Macaca fascicularis: one gene and its partners. The protein of the gene in region 2 interacts with the protein of the main gene of each other region in a biochemical or structural test. Links are inferred from orthologs where the notes say so. Each region holds a gene or a part of one and is shown on either strand. Other genes may lie near its edges.

Region 1 (5,439 bases), on a different chromosome or scaffold from region 2:
TAGGTAATAAAGAGGAGAGTAAATAATCCTTTGACAATGAGGGAATGCACAGAAGAAATGAGGAATTAGAAAGAGAAGAGAATATTCGCATGCCACTGTGGTAAATGCACTCAGGATTCCATGACAGTAACAAAAATAACAGCCAATTAGCAGAAGCAAAAGTGAGGGACAGCATGAATCAATACTGATTAAGTTAAGGCAGCTGTGGGTCTTCCTGCAACAGTATCTGCAGCAAGGGAGCAGAGAAAGTAGACAGGACAGGAGATAATGATCACTAGTAACTTCTAGCCACATCTTACTCTCCTTTCTTCCACAATCCTTCCGCAGACCCATACAATCACAGCATGTGTCTGCCATGCGTTTATGCTCAGTGTATCCTGGGCTCTGAACTATTATAATGCATAATTATTACTAGTCATGTGGAAAGTGGCAATTGACCTTGAAAATCTTACTCTCCTGACTGTAAGATATTTGGATGTTTTCTCTTTTTCCTTAAAATGGCAGGGAAACATTCTGGTTTTCTCTTGTTTCAGCATCTAACACATGGGACACCGTCATGTTATGGTGGTCACACCTAAATAAAATTGATTCCATATGTCTTTATTCTATTAGTAATACTTAATTTTAGTCCTAATTTGCTATATTCCCCTTGTCTAATTAATTTTCTGGCCTCAAAAACAGTCCAAGTAAACATGCAACTGTTAATTTTTTTGTGCATCTCCCATACAAGATGAATCCACTAGTCAGGACAAACACTGCTTACCTTTCAAAACTGGAGAATACACAATGAATTAGATATGCACATTTCAATTATGTAACAACTTCAGCCAACATGCTGACATCTGCTTGATAGACCACTTACTAATGAAGTTTGTTTATAAATTCTGGCATCTCATATGCTGTATAGTTCTAGCTAAATACTTCAGTTTGAATTAAAATGTTTACAATCTACCCATCTGACAAAGGGCTAATATCCAGAATCTACAAAGAATTTAAACAAATTTACAAGAAAAAAATCAAACAACCCCATCAAAAAGTGGGCAAAGGATATGAACAGACACTTCTCAAAAGAAAATATTTATGCAACCAACAGACACATGAAAAAATGCTCATCATCACTGGCCATCAGAGAAATGCAAATCAAAACCACAATGAGATACCATCTCATACCAGTTAGAACGGTGATCATTAAAAGTCAGGAAACAACAGGTGCTGGAGAGGATGTGGAGAAATAGGAACACTTTCACACTATTGGTGGGACTGTAAACTAGTCCAACCATTGTGGGAGACAGTGTGGCAATTTCTCAAGGATCTAGAACTAGAAATACCATTTGACCCAGCCATTCCATTTCTGGGTATATACCCAAAGGATTATAAATCATGCTGCTATAAAGACACATGCACACATATGTTTACTGTGGCACTATTAACAATAGCAAAGACTTGGAACCAACCCAAAGGTCCATCAATAATACACTGGTTAAAGAAAATGTGGCACATATACACCATGGAATACTATGCAGCTGTAAAAAAGGATGAGTTCATGTCCTTTATAGCAACATGGATGAAGCTGGAAACCATCATTCTGAGCAAACTATCTCAAGGACAGAAAACCAAACATTGTATGTTCTTACTCATAGGTGGGAATTGAACAATGAGAACACCTGGACACAGGGCGGGGAACATCACACCCTGGGGCCTGTCATGGCGTGGTGGGGAGGGGGGCGGGATAGCATTAGGAGATATACCTAATGTAAATGACAAGTTAATAGGTGAAGCACACCAACATGGCACATGTATACATATGTAACAAACCTGCACTTTGTGCACATGTACCCTAGAACTTAAAGAATAAAAGAAAAAAAGAAAAAAAAAGGAAAGAAAAAAAACTTACCAATATACGAAAGTAACAGTGTTGATACAAGCCACAATTACACTTCTTGAAACTCTCTCTCTTTCTCTTGCAACATACTGAAAAACAATAAAAAATAAAAAATTAAAAAAAATAAAAAAAGTCATGCTTATTTGCTCTTAGTCAGAGATTCTGAGGTACACCATGACCTGGGCATTGTAAAAGGCAGCTTTTCTGTAAATACAGTAGTAGAAGATTGCAAAATTTAATGGGGAGCTTACCTTCTTATTACTATAGGGAAGAGGGAAGACTTCATTTGTCTTAAGGTAGTCTTTCAAAGTAGTTAAAACATTTCTTTCTCTGTATATGCATATACACACACCAAACATGCCTATATGCATTTCATATGTGTCTGTGTATACAATAGGCATGACATGAGAGAATGCAACACACCAAATGAAAATTATAATCAAAGGTAAGGGAACATATGAGCACTGGGCAGTATAGGGTAAGGTGAAAGAGTAACAAGAGCCAGCTACAGAGAACGGAAAGTCATCTTACAGCAAATTTTGCATTTGGCTTTACAGAAAACAACGAGCATGCTGAGAAAAGTTAAGGGCTCTGAAAGCCAGAGTAAAATAAAAGATATATTAAATATACAAGAGAAAATCACGAACATATTTCGAATAAGAAGTCACACTATGAACCAGTGTTTACAGAAGAGTGTGACTAAAGGTTGAGTTTAGAAGGGCAAAAGAAAAGATCAGTGGCAGCAACTCATGAGATCATAAAGATGTCAGTGATGATAATGCTTCCTACCAAAAGAACTAAGCTTAGGAAAAGGCTCTGAGAGCTGAATCAGTATGTTTTGATAAAAGTGTGGAAAAGAAAGAACATGAGCAAATATGCCTCCAGAGTTCCACAACTAGGAGTCTGAGAAGATTCTGCTGCCTTACTTAAATAAGAAAGCAGAGGTAACCCCTTTATAAACCCTAAGAAGGGTCATGAAAACAATTATGTGAAGGTATTCTACAGGTAAATCGAGATGCAGCATTGAAGAGAGAGTGAGACATCAGAAAGATGGATAAAGAGTTGGGACTCACTGGTTAGGAGCTACTGTCATGAATTAAGGACTTCTTAAAGACATTCTGGGCATGTACACAGCGTGTGAAATGGCAATGCCATGCTTGATTAGGCACACATTTAGCAAAACAAAATACCTTATCTCATTATCGTCTTCATTAATTTGTATATTTTCAACTGCCCTTGTAAGACTTGGCTGTCTCTTCTGGAAAAAGAAGAAACACACATGCTGTAAAACGATCAATGAATGGTCTAATATTTAAGAGGTAAGTGCACTCCACTTTTATCTTTTATGTCAATAACTCCAATAACAGTTTTTTTCAGCATGTAGCATGCAAAATGTTTTTGTAATAAAAAATTATGAAAGTTGCACGGTACCATCAACTCAACATTTTTAGGATGTTGGGGGAGAAAGAGTAAGAAAGAAGTTGACATTTAATCAAATTCAAAAGACATTTCAAGAAGCTGAATCACAATGATTTTTGCACATTTTTAAATTTTAGACAGGCTTCAATAAGAAGAGAACAAAAGAGTAGAAATCCAAAAATAGCAGATAATACAAATGACATTTCTATTTATCTTTTAAGTATATCATATGATTTTTGGCAGATCTTCCTTTTCATATTTAGTTCAGGTTATTAACGCTAGTTCCTAATTCTTTTTTTTTTTTTTTTTTTTTTGAGACGGAGTTTTGCTCTGTCTCCCAGGCTGGAGTGCAGTGGCGCGATCTCCACTCACTGCAAGCTCCGCCTCCCGGGTTCACGCCATTCTCCTGCCTCAGCCTCCTGTGTGGCTGGGACTACAGGCGCCCGCCACCGCGCCCGGCTAATTTTTGTATTTTTAGTAGAGACGGGGTTTCACCATGTTAGTCAGGATGGTCTCGATCTCCTGACCTCGTGATCCGCCCATCTCGGCCTCCCAAAGTGCTGGGATTACAGGCGTGAGCCACCGCGCCCGGCAAGTTCCTAATTCTTAAGTGTGAATAATCAGCTACAGGGATTGTCTCCAGATGTAATGAGAAATGGGAAACTTTCTAAAATTTAAATTTTGTTTAGATTATAAACTAAGGTAGAATTCACTGTTTTCGTAATGGATCATTTCTTGAGGAAAAAAGATTAATAATTTATGTAAACATAGCATATTAAAAAAAGGAATGGCAACACTTACCTTCCAGTATAAGGCTCCAAAAGCAAAGCCAATTATAAGAGAAAAGAATGCTGGCAATGCCATGGCTGCCCAGTGTAGGCTGGAGTCTCCAGTGGGATTTTTGGCCTTCCCTATAATTTAAAGAACACAGTGATGAATACAGCATATTCATCCTAGAAGTTTTGCTCTTATGCTGTGGTTGTTTTTAACTGTTTCTGTAACACATTCTGGACCTATATCTGTTTAAAGTATTCAAAAGATTGATTTTTCCGCTGAATATTGCTTTTGCAAGGCAATATAAGTCCAGGTAGTCTCCAAAAGATGAATGCATTAAAAAGGAAAGAAATCACAGAGACAGAAAGAAATCTGGCTTGGGTAATTCTGCCACATATGGAACACAGACTTAATATATTTCTGGGGGGGAAATGACTTACACTATCAAACAAATCTATCTCTCATGCCTTTATCTTGGTATTTGGCTACGTTGGGTCAGCCGGATGTCCCAGAATCAAGGTAGCCAAACACCACGTTCTTCCTGTTCTATACAAAGACCAAACCCAAGTCTTGAAATTCACCACTCAGGCCAAAGGAAAGACCAGACTCAAAAGCAAAAAGCAGCTTACTAAAGAGGGAGATATTCTGGAATTTGCTACCTAAAACCTTTCTCAGGCAGAAGGATAGCATCTAAGGAGGGGGCTTCAAACAAAGCTGTGTGGGAGACCTCACTAAGGAAAGCAGACCTGCTCTCTGAGGGTGCGGTGACTACCATGTTGACAGTTCCTTCCCTAAGACTATGAGCCAAGATGCAATCCTGGAATCTGACTAAGACACAGCAGCAATCTTCCTGCAGGAGAGAGGGAGGGAGAAAAACAGCAAAGACTAGGTGGTGGGGCGGCAGTGCGGGGGAGGGTTGGGGGAAGTGCCCATAGATTACTTAGCTTCACATCCTATAGAGGTCAATGTTATCTCACTTTTTTTATTTCACTTGTTCATGCGTGGGGCTTAAGAACCAGGTCTTTGGTCCATCAGGGATACTACTGTCCCTCTTGCAGGCAGACAAAAAGAATTTTATCAGAAGAGATTTGCTTAGACCTCCAGCGAATGACTTTCAATACTTTCCACTGCAGCTATCCAGTAGGAATCAATGAGATTTGAATTGTATGCCTCAAGGCCCAAATGAAGGCTATTTGGGGACAAAGCTTAAGCTGACAACAAAGTTTTGATTTTATGCAAAGATAGCCTGCAGAGAATTTGTGTGGAGAGGAAGCTCATCTGGGCAGGATTTGAGTGATCCCAAATTCCTGGGTTATTACCATATTAATTATATCTCCTTATTACCAAAACTATCCACTGTCCAG
Region 2 (5,539 bases):
TCTCCAATATCAGCTGATTGAAGAAGAAAATTGTAAATTTTCTCTCTCAGGCATAATGTTGATATTTTAACTCATAGTGATTTTTTCTCAATTCAAAATGGATTTTAGAAATAAATCAAGATCCCAGAAACTTATGATTGCTTTGAGTGGTATCTTTCATCTGTCATCCTAAGAAAAACATGAGATCTGATGGCCCAGAGCACAGAGACCTTTTGTATTTCAGTTCTCCTACAGCCACATGACTCGAACCTTTTGCTGGGAGACTGGGATGTAGGTCCCCATACTTGATTATAAGGACTGTGAGGGCAGGGGCCACATCTGCTTATCTGTCTATTAATAATAGTACTCCTGGTACCTAGCTCCTCGTTGCTCCACAGCAGACACTAAATAAATGCTTGCTGAGTGAATAAATACTTACATTTAAAGAGAGGCAATTATACACATTGATCATTTGATCATCCTCTAGTACTGATAATTTTTAAGTGATTAACTTTAAAAATCATTTTTCTTACGTCAACCTGGGTCCTCACACTATTAAACAACAGGAGAGCTTTCAACATTAAATGGAGTGGGGCAGCTGGGCAACTATAAATTTTGGATGATACTTCAGAGAAGAGTCTAGGTGTATCTGTTCTATCCCTTTTTCTCATGGGCATCTGCCACTTATTTTCCATTCTTAAGCTCTCAGGAGGGATGTCTTTTTAGTTTATCAGAATCCATAGGGAAAGCTCATCTTTCTTGGAGTAGGTCTTCAAATAAGGGTTCAAGCCCTGGGTCTTCCCTCACTACAATAATAAACATACCTGCTCTACCCTCCTCACAAAGCTGTTATGGTGAGCATGAAAAGAAGAGTCGGTGTGGGGAAGAACTATTAACCCCTATACAGATACCGTGTTGCTTTCCGTTCAAGGATCCACCATGAGACTGTGGATAAAGCACTTTCCGGGCAGTGAAATCTGGCTTAAGAGAATCATTGTACTTTTATTCTGCTCCTGGGACCGGCAAGGGCAGTTAAGAGGGACACAGGGATCCCTAGCCCTAAAACTGTCGTCTGATACAGAGGCAGATAAATCATTACTGGGGTTGGCAGCGTTGGGGGGAGAGGGGGAAATGTGTATGAAAACCTGGGCTCCCAGAGCAAACTTTGCAACGCGCCCCTCCCCACTTCACCGCCCCAATCTCCACACAAGTCCCGGCAGGGGCTTCTTGGGCGGAGGCCACGCCGACCAATAGGAACCCACTGTATTCTTACAGGTTACGAAGCAGGTGGAGAAACTGAGCAGAAACAATTAGCTAAGCCGGGCTCAGCCTTTACCGCGGTGCCACGCGCTCCTAACAGGCCTGGAGGGTAATGTCGGGGCTCAATTTCCTAACGCTCCCCTCCCCATCCCCGTGTCACCTCCACCAGCAGCGGCGTCCAGCCTCCTCCCGCCCGAACGTGCTCGAGGGACGGGCAGCCGTCCTTTATTGTCTGGGGAGCACCTGGCAGGTGGCGGGCCCGTGCCCTAACGTGCGCGTGGTGCCCAGCTTCACAAAGCGAGCGGGCAGCACCTCTTTGGTCCGGGAACGGCCTCGGGCGGGCCGACCACATCCCAGGGGTGGAGAGGTGGAGAGAGAAAGGGGCTCCGGGGTCAAGAGCTGGGAGCTAGGGCGCGCGCGCGCCCTCCTCCTCCCCGCGGGCACAGCCCCCCGGCATTAACACGTCGAAAGAGCAGGGGCCAGACGCCGCCGGGAAGGAGCGAGACCCGGGCGGGCGCGAGGGAGGGGAGGCGAGGAGGGGCGTGGCCGGCGCGCAGAGGGAGGGCGCTGGGAGGAGGGGCTGCTGCTCGGCGCTCACGGCTCTGGGGGCTCGGCTTTGCCGCGCTCGCTGCACTTGGGCGAGAGCTGGAACGTGGACCAGAGCTCGGATCCCAGCGCAGCCACCGCGATGAGAGGCGCTCGCGGCGCCTGGGATTTTCTCTGCGTTCTGCTCTTCCTGCTCCACGTCCAGACAGGTGGGTCACCGCGGCTGGCACCCCGACCGTGCGACTCCTCGGCGAAGCCTGTGCCCGGGAGGGTGGTACACGCCGGAGTGCATCCGGAGAGAGGACTGCGGGCCCTCAGTGCCTGTGCGTTCCAGTCTCCGGGGGAGACTCCAGGTGTCCCTCGGACTCTCCTGCGCCTTGCCTCGCTCACCTGCGCGAGGAGACCCCAGCTGCTAGTGGTGGGGACGCGAAGCCGGGGTTCCTCGGGAATGGGGACAGCGAGGGGAGGTTAGGCGTGAGCGAGGTTGCAGGCTGCGTGCGAGTTTGGGGTGGCTTTTGTGCCGAGGTTGCGCGGGGGGCGGAGGCGAGGGGCTCAGGGGTTCCCACCGAGCGCCTTCTCTCGCTGTGCGAGGCGCGGCCGCAGCTTCCTTTTGTTAAAAGTTGCGTGTGTGTGACCGGTGCCCAGGAGGACCTGCCTGCAGGTTCTCCGCCGCGCGGAGGGCAAAGTTAGAGAGCCCTTTCTCTCCTCTGCGGCTGCTGCCTTCCAACCGCAGGCGCTCTTTGTGCCCAGAGCTGGGGACCGACCCGCTGCCGCCTCTGCTCACGGCGCCACCCGTGGAGACGAATCGAAGCCTGCGGATTTCCCCGCCTCCGGGTTAGGGTTTTGCTCTGGGAGTGCGCGGCGTGTGGCTGTGGGGCCGGACTCCCGCGAGCCTGGAGGTGGTGTGTACGGGGACAACTTGGGCAGGGCGTGTGGAAAGCAGCCGCTAGGTTGCAGACTTTTTGCTTTCGTATATCCTGTGCTCGTCCCTTTCGGCCGCGGCGCCGTTTCATTCCTGCCACGCGCCCCGGGGCGGCTGGAGGCTGCGTTTGCCGCCTGCTCCGGGAAGGCAAGGGACAGCGTGCTGGGACTATGCGTGCCCTGATCCCGGCTGCCTAGCACGCCGGCCAGTGTGCCCGGCCTGCCTGGCGGGCTCTGGAAGCCCGTAGTCCCGGTATCTGCGACCTGTATTCGCAGGTCCTGTTTTCTTCGGAAATTTTTGAGATTAGTGACCGCCCGCCTCCCTGTCCCCGGGGAGGGGACATCTATACTTCAGGGCTGCCTGGGGGTGGGGTGGGAGATGGAGTGGAACTTTCTGCAAATCCTACTCAGTTCTTAAAGCTATAACAAAAAACCAGATATATCCGCGCGGGAACTTGGGTCTTAGGTGAAGGATTTGCCGGCTGCTGGAGCCCCTCGGTCAGATTTCTGCCTCTCGTTCCCTTTTTTCCAGGTGTCGCTGGTGCGCGCGAGTGCAGGTCGCCCAGCTCACTCCTGAAGCACTGCTCTCTCCCAGGTCATTTTTAAAACAAACCTTTAAGGTTACCTTGATGGTGTAAGGATAGAAAGTGAGTCTTAGCTGGAATCAAGCGCTTGAAAGGAAGCGGCGCAATGAACGGTTGTGAGACTGTCTACTACTGGTCAGTTTCTCTATAAAGTCTCCAGGCGCAGTCTCCCGCGTCCTGGTCTTGTAACTATTGTGAGGGCTTTCCTGTGGGGGCAGAGAGGCCTTGCATCTGGACCCCTGTGCAGCAGGAGGGGTCAGCAGGGGTCACGAGGGAGTGTTCAGATTCCCTGGAGGATTTGATCACCTAGCTTAAAACAACACATCTGGTCTTTATGTTTTTGTGCCTTGACCTTTTTAATATCAGTTAAGGTATGTGAACTAGACCCCAGTAGGAGACTAGAAAGACCACATCGAATATCTCCCTTTTACAAAATTAAAAGAATCAATGGTTTTCTTCTTCCCAAAAGATTTTTGGCAAAGGGAATTTTAAGTCTGTCTCCTGGGGGGGCAGTGTGGTGTAACGACAAAGCCTTGATCTGTCCCCTGGGTTCTCCTTTTCTCTGCCATTTCTTGGCTGCGTGCCCTTGGGCAGGTTGCTTAAGGCAGGTTGCTTAAATTCTGGGGAACCCAGTGTCCTCCAGAGTACAAGGAGGCATCTGCATCATGAAGGATCCTTTGGGTCCAGAATTTTCCAATGTGCTGAGTGTAGACTCAGCACTCTTTTCAACTATTCCCCTGGTCCCTGTCTGCCACCTTGAAATTCCTCTGCCTCTCCTGCTCACGGGGACCTCATGGAGTATGGGTGCATCTGACCGTCTGCCCCTGGCTGCAGCAAGGAGCTGTGGCTTATGCTTCCCACCCCTCAATTCCCATATATTTCTCTGTATTGCCCTTTGAGGGCTAGGAGGTGCCCACTTTGTCCTAACCGTCATTCTTCTCCCCCACCACCACCCCATTATTACAGCTCCTGTGCCTAACAGGATGAAGCTGCAAGGAATGGTGAATCATACCTTCCCCGCTTCATTCCTGCAGGTGTGAGGCTGGAGTCATTCTCAGCAGCTGGACGCAAGGCAGTCTAAATTATTTTCCTGCTGGAAATATCCCAAATAAATATCCCAGATAATTCATTTATCCCTATTCTGTTTTTTCCCCCACTCATCCCCATATTTTTTCCTCATGACTCTCTAAATCATGTATGCTGTGCATTTATAACATGCTTTCTAATGGGCCTTAAATTTTGTATGACATGTGTGTTATACATAGTTGTTGCTCTTCAGTTGGAAACTGTGTGCCAGGCCTGTTGCTTGGGGCTTTACCTGCTATTTCCGCTAGTCTCAATGAGCCTAGGAAGTAGTATTATTATTACCCCTAACATTTTACAGCTGGAGAAACTGGCTAAGGATAAGCGCCAAGTCATCAGTGGTGAAGCCTGATGAGATTGGCTCTATGTGCCCAGCTCTATAACCATTCACATGATTCACCGGAATCTGTAGTAAGACTCATTCAAAAATATTTAATGAGTTTTTACTATGTGCCAGGGATTGTTGGAAGTTCTGGGAATGCAGAATGGCCAATGTCACTGCCTTCCCAATTTTGGTGAAAAATATTTAGAATTGGGTGTCTTATGAAAGGGGAGTATTTGTGGAGGGAGGATTAATTAAATTTTAGCTTGGAGGAAGGGTTGTAGGCATTTGACCCTGTGGTATGCTGGCCTTAGTTGTTAGCTGTCTCATTCTAGTTAGCGTCCCTCAGAAATGAAGGTAAGCTATTTCTAAAATGATGATGCAAGCCAGTTAAAAATTCATCTCCCACTCCAAAACATAAAAATGGTCTTGTGCATAGGTGTAAAAGAGAACACCCCCAATAATGGCTGATGCCATTGGCTATTTACCCTGGACAGCATGGTGAGAAATAACGACAATATACCATCCAAAGCCATTTTTTCTCCCAAAAGAAATTCTCGTCAGAAATGTGCCAAGTATTGTGCAGGCTTCCCTTGGAGCACATTTATGTACAGATGTTGTTGTGGTGATGAATTGTGCTGCTGTTGTTGACAGCCCTTCGAAGTTACCCTTAGGGTTTTGACTCATTTCCTCAAGTCTCTTCCAGCTGATTAAAGAAGGACACAAGGAAATGAACCTCGGTGTCTCTAGCGGAATTCTCAGAGCTAGACTGCAGTGTGGGGACCCCTTCAAAGTAGTGGTCAAGGCTGTGGCAGCATTTTCTTCAGAATGAATTTAGTTTAAG
Region 3 (5,539 bases), on a different chromosome or scaffold from region 2:
TCTACCCTCTTTGTCTCTCCTTCAAGTTACTTTTCTTTTCTCTTTGTGGATTTTGGTCTCTCTGTTGACTAACAATTATGACAGAGTGCTACAGAGCTCACGGAAGCCTCCTCACCACGGGGCGGCTTCACTGTGGGGTGGTTGGCGGGTTGGGGGTGGTCACTGGGCGGGAATCCCAAAACATTAGCAGCATCTGGAAGGCTTTTCTCATAGCCTGGCATCCAGCGTTCTAGAAGCCACAAGAGAGTACGCATCTGGGGTCACTATTTTATGTGTGACTTTAATGGCCTAGGTTTTTTGTTTGTTTTTGTGTTTGTGTTTGTTTTTTTGCAATGGCACGGTGTTGGTTCACTGCAATCTCTGCTTCCCAGGTTCAAGTGATTTTCCTGCGTCAGCCTCTCAAGTGGCTGGGATTACAGGCATGTGCCACCAAGCCCGGCTAAGGTTTTTTTTTTGGTGGAGATGGAATTTCACCATGTTGGTCAGGCTGGTCTTGAACTCCTGACCTCAGGTGATGCCCCTGCCTCAGCCTCCCAAAGTGCTGGGATTACAGGCGTGAGCCACCGTGCCCGGCCTGGTTTTTTTTAAAGACAGGGTCTCACTCTGTCGTGCAGGATGGAGTGCAGTGGCATGATCATAGCTCACTGCAGCCTCGACCTCCAGGGCTCAAGTGATCCTCCTGCCTCAGCCTCTCAAGCAGCTGGGACTACAGGCATGGATCGTCATATCTGGCTATTTTTTGTTTTTTTTTTTTTTAGAGATGGTGTCTTGCTGTGTTGCCCAGGCTGGTCTCAAACTCCTGGGCTCAAGTGATCCTCCTGCCTCAGTCTCCTGAAGTGCTGGGATTATAGGCATGAGCCACTGCACTTGGTCTTAATGGCCCATTTGCAGAGCCCCTCCCTCATCCCTGCCCTCCATGGAGCCTGGGTCCCTGTGCCTGAACCTTTCTGTGCAGCAAGCATTTTAAAATGCATTTTCTTACTGAATTCTCACAGCTCCCTGCACGGTTGGTGCTACCAGTTTGTCCCCAGTTTTATGGAAGCTTAAGACGGTAACATGAGCTGTCCCCACGCTCCAAAGCTGATAAGTTAAAGGACCACGCTGTGACTAAAGCCCGGAGCCCAGAGTCCCCCTCACTGCGTGAAGTGACGGCTTCTGGCTCAGCCTTGGCTTCCCCAAGGAAGGCGATGAGTGTTTGTTGATTGTCTACGGAATAAATGTCAACATCCTCAACGGGAGAAATGGAGAAACCACATGAATGGTGGCCCAGCACACATCACAGGCGTTCAACACACATACGGAATGAATGAGCAGCTGAAAGAACAGGAGTTGAGGCCGGGCGCGGCGGCTCATGCCTGTAATCTCAGCACTTTGGGAGGCTGAGGCAGGCAGATCACCTGGGGTCAGGAGTTCGAGACCAGCCTGGGCAACACAGTGAAACCCCGTCTCTACTAAAATACAAAAAAATTAGCTGGGCATGGTGGGAGACGCCTGTGTTCCCAGCTACTTGGGAGGCTGACACAGGAAAATCACTGGAACCCAGGAGGCGGAGGTTGCAGTGAGCCGAGATCATACCATTGCACTTGAGCCTGGGTGACAGAGCGAGACCTTGTCTCAAAGAAAAATAAAATGTGTCTTGTAAGGTCATGAGAAGAATTAAGTTAGATCGTAAGCACACAGTAAACAGGTGATGAATCAATGTCGTTATGATACCCAGTGAAGAAAAGCAGGAAGCAAGATGGTATAAATGATCCACCCATAAACAACCAGGCATTCAAGAATAGAAAGCGGGATGTCTGGGCGCGGTGGCTCAGGCCTGTAATCCCAGCATTTTGGGAGGCCGACGCGGGTGAATCACCTGAGGTCAGGAGTTTGAGACCAGCCTGACCAATGTGGTGAAACCCCATCTCTACTAAAAATGCAAAAATTAGCCGGGCGTGGTTGCACACGTCTGTAATCCCAGCTACTCGGGAGACTGAGTCCAGGAGACTCACCTGAACCCGGGAGGCAGAGGTTGTGGTGAGCCGAGATTGCACCATTGCACTCCAGCCTGGGCAACAGGAGCAAAACTCCGTCTCCAGGAAAAAAAAAAGAAAAGCAGAAGGGAAATGGAGTGTTCACAGTGGCTGATTGTTTTGTGATGGTTTTGTTTTCCTTCTTCCATTTTTCTGGATTGTCCAAGTTTTTCATAATGGGAAAAACCCAATTCACAGTAAAAACATTTATGTGGAAAAAATACATGTAACATTAAATTTGCCATCATCATTTTTTATTTTATTATTTTTATTTATTTTTTTGAGACGGAGTTTTGCTCTCTCATCCAGGCTGGAGTGCAGTGGCACAATCTCGGCTCACTGCAACCTTGGTCTCTGGGTTCAAGCGATTCTCCTGCCTCAGCCTCCCGAGTAGCTGGGATTATAGGCGTGCACCACCACACCCAGCTAATTTTTGTATTTTTAGTAGAGACGGGGTTTCAAACTCCTGACCTCAGGTGATCCGCCCGCCTCAGCCTCTCAAAGTGCTGCGATGACAGGCGTAAGCCATCGCACCTGGCTGATGCTACCTAATGCATTTCATGTGCAAGACTTGGGAGGGACCATTTTCCACCCAGGGTGGCTTCTCCACCTTAATTAAGACCTTAAGTGGGTCTTAATCCGATCACCCGAAACATCTTCTCTGTCCCAGAAGCTAACCCAGGGAGGCATCCCGGGACAAGACCAATCTTTTCCCAAACGCCCCCTGAGCCTGGCCAGGGAGATGCTGCCTGCAAGACTGATTGTGACTGGGCCGGCGGACTCAGGGCATCTTAGCGGCCGCCTCTCCGTCCTGTCCTGTCCCTGACCTTGCAGATGCAGGTGACAGCCTGCCCTTCCGTTTTTGTCTTTCCAGCCCCGCCTGCCGGATTGGGTTCCAGCCCTGCCCACACGCCGGGTATCATCCCGCCCACACTCACCGATGTCGCCTAGCAACCCGGCTCGCCGCCAGCATCCGCAGCCCAGGTCCCCGCGCTCCAGTGCTCTGGCGGGGAGGGAGGGAGGGGTTGCCTCTCCAGCCCCCTGCAGCCCGGTGTCTTCCCGCCACCCGCCGGCCTGCTCCGGGGACCGCGGCCCAGTGGGACGAGGGCTGGGCAGGACGGGTCAGGAGCGACTGCTTTTCAGGCCCGTGGGCTCCGTAGCCCAGACGGTCCCTCCATCTGCACCCAATCCTTTTGCTAACCAACTGCTTGATTTTGCTGTCGCGCCGCCTAAACTTGGTTTTTTGGAGTTGCTAGGAGGGCCGACTTAACTCTTTGTCAGCGGGGCTGGTTTTCAACCACCTGGTGGTGGGAATCCTGTTTGGCTTCCCGGGGAGCCGGGGATGGGAACGGGAACCGTGGGTGGGAGGCTTCCGAGAGCCGCCTCTCCCAGAGCGTAAGGGAGGAAGCAGGCTGCCGGTAAGGCCTGGGGTTCACAGCAGGGGACGAGGTGCCTCCCACCAGGGGCTACTGTGACCGCCAGGCCTGCCAGGGCGTGCCCCTTCCCCTGTCCCTTCCCTCTGTCCCCGCAGCCTTAGCTGTAGTCTCTCTCCGGTAATGAGATGGAGACAAATTTGAGACAGAGTCTCACTGTGTTGCCCAGGCTGGAGTGCAGCGGTGCGATCTCAGCTCACCACAACTTCTGCCTCCCGGGTTCAAGCGATTCTCCTGCCTCAGCTTCCAAGTAACTGGAATTACAGGCGCCCACCACCATGCCCAGCTAATTTTTGATATTTTTAGTAGAGACAGGGTTTCACCATGTTGGCCAGGCTGGTCTCAAACTCCTGACCTCAAGTGATCCTCCTGCCTCGGCCTCCCAAAGTGCTGGGATTACAGGCACAAGCCACTGCTCCTGGCCGACAAATGGTGTTCTGTTAACCACCAGAAAGAGACACGTCTTTTGGTGTCAGAGCGTGGCTCTAAGCACTGAGGTTGACTCAGTTGCTAGTGTCCACCTGGCCTGCCCGAGATCTGGGAATACAATGACGATCCAAGATCTGGGAATACAATGACGATCCAATTGGTGGTAACAGGCTTCCTGACAGGCAGAGAATTCACATTCTAAAGGGGAAGACACATACCAAATCGTTTCAAAGATGCATGGTTTAAACTCAAGGAACAGGCCAGGCGCGGTGGCTCACGCCTGTAATCCCAGCACTTTGGGAGGCTGAGGCAGGCAGATCACCTGAGGTCAGGAGTTTGAGACCAGTCTGGCCAACATAGTGAAACCCTGTCTCTACTAAAAATACAAAAAATTAGCTGGGCGTGGTGATGCAGGCCTGTAGTCCCAGCTACTCGGGAGGCTGAGGTGGGAGGATTGCTGGAACTCAGGAGGCGGAGGTTGCAGTGAGCTAAGATCGAGCTGCTGCACTACAGCCTGGGTGACAGAGTGAGACCCTGTCTCAAAAAAAAAAAAAAAAAAAAAAAAAGTGGAACTGGAATTGACAAGATATCCTCCTCATGGATTGGCCGGGAGCACAGAGGAATCTGGGAGGGCTCCCTGGTGGTGGTGGCCATCATCTTGGGCCCTGAGTAAATGGCCATGCTGCTGCCGCGATGCTGATGAAGAGAGGGGCTGTGTGTGGACGGAGTGTGTAGGAAGGGAGGTGAAGTTCCCAAGAAATTTGGCATAGAGTGGAAAGCAGGAGAGAGGGTGTGAGGTGGAAGAGGCCAGTGGCCTAGAGGCAGCCTGCCCTCCGGGGAGGCTAAACCAGCAATTCCTGTTGCTGATAGATAATCCCTACTAGAAGGGGACCCCTTGGTGGCTCCCCACCCCCTTCCTTTGGTCTAGGCATGAAACAGCAGTCCCTCCACACCCAGCCCCTGCCACTCCTGTCCCGCCGCCCCCACCCTGCATCTGCCTCCTCCCCACTCTGCTCCCCACCTGCCCGGACAAACACTGCCAGGGAAGTCCTGTGGGCCGGAAGCTGTCAGGAAACTCTTCCACTGTGACCAGGCCTTAGCATCTGAACACCCTCCGCCTGCCTTCTGAGGGTTTGGGAACGTGGCGGGGCAAGTACTCTGTGGGCAGAGCCATCTCTTCCAAACTCAGTGTAGTTACCTCCTCCTCCAGGAAGCCCTCGGGGAGCCTCCGGAGCATCTCACTGTGTGTCTCTAGGATGGGGCCAGGGGAACCCTCAAGGACCGAGGCAGAGAGCTGGGTTATGGGAGACATTGGGACGGGTGATTCTCAGCCGGTGTGTCTGTGTTCCCAGGGGACCCTTGTGAGGGGACAGCCTGAGGATGCCCATGCCTTGGGGAGCAGCCACTGAGCGGTGCCAGCCCCTTGGGACCCTCCCAGTCCACATTCAGGCTGCAGTTTCTGGGAGACCCCCACTCAGGGCCCTGAGAAGGAGGTGAAGAGGCCAGCATTTGGGGTCACCTACATCCCACGGGAAGGACGGCACGGCTCACACGGAAGACAAATGATTTCCTTTATTTCCCCCGCCTCCCAGTTTCCAGGTAGCTCTACAAAGACATTGAGAAAGAGCCACACGCAGGCTGTCCTTCAAACACGGAGAAACA

Evidence for each region.
Region 1: the proteins of KIT (region 2) and KITLG form a complex in vitro, tested with the Homo sapiens proteins (3 studies listed by BioGRID and IntAct, with this or other methods). The link is inferred for Macaca fascicularis from reciprocal best matches to the Homo sapiens genes KIT and KITLG.
Region 3: the proteins of KIT (region 2) and MATK form a complex in vitro, tested with the Homo sapiens proteins (2 studies listed by BioGRID). The link is inferred for Macaca fascicularis from reciprocal best matches to the Homo sapiens genes KIT and MATK.

The regions. Positions count from the first base shown.
Region 1 is NC_088385.1:95,440,291-95,445,729, forward strand, and holds part of KITLG (kit ligand), read right to left. Parts: intron 4,213-5,439; coding exon 4,103-4,212; intron 3,141-4,102; coding exon 3,073-3,140; intron 1,972-3,072; coding exon 1,932-1,971; 3' UTR 1,895-1,931; intron 1-1,894. UniProt on the Homo sapiens protein: Ligand for the receptor-type protein-tyrosine kinase KIT. Plays an essential role in the regulation of cell survival and proliferation, hematopoiesis, stem cell maintenance, gametogenesis, mast cell development, migration and function, and in melanogenesis.
Region 2 is NC_088379.1:79,243,556-79,249,094, reverse strand, and holds the start of KIT (mast/stem cell growth factor receptor Kit), read left to right. Parts: upstream 1-1,869; 5' UTR 1,870-1,927; coding exon 1,928-1,994; intron 1,995-5,539. UniProt on the Homo sapiens protein: Tyrosine-protein kinase that acts as a cell-surface receptor for the cytokine KITLG/SCF and plays an essential role in the regulation of cell survival and proliferation, hematopoiesis, stem cell maintenance, gametogenesis, mast cell development, migration and function, and in melanogenesis.
Region 3 is NC_088393.1:4,522,871-4,528,409, forward strand, and holds the start of MATK (megakaryocyte-associated tyrosine-protein kinase), read right to left. Parts: upstream 3,222-5,539; 5' UTR 2,954-3,221; intron 1-2,953.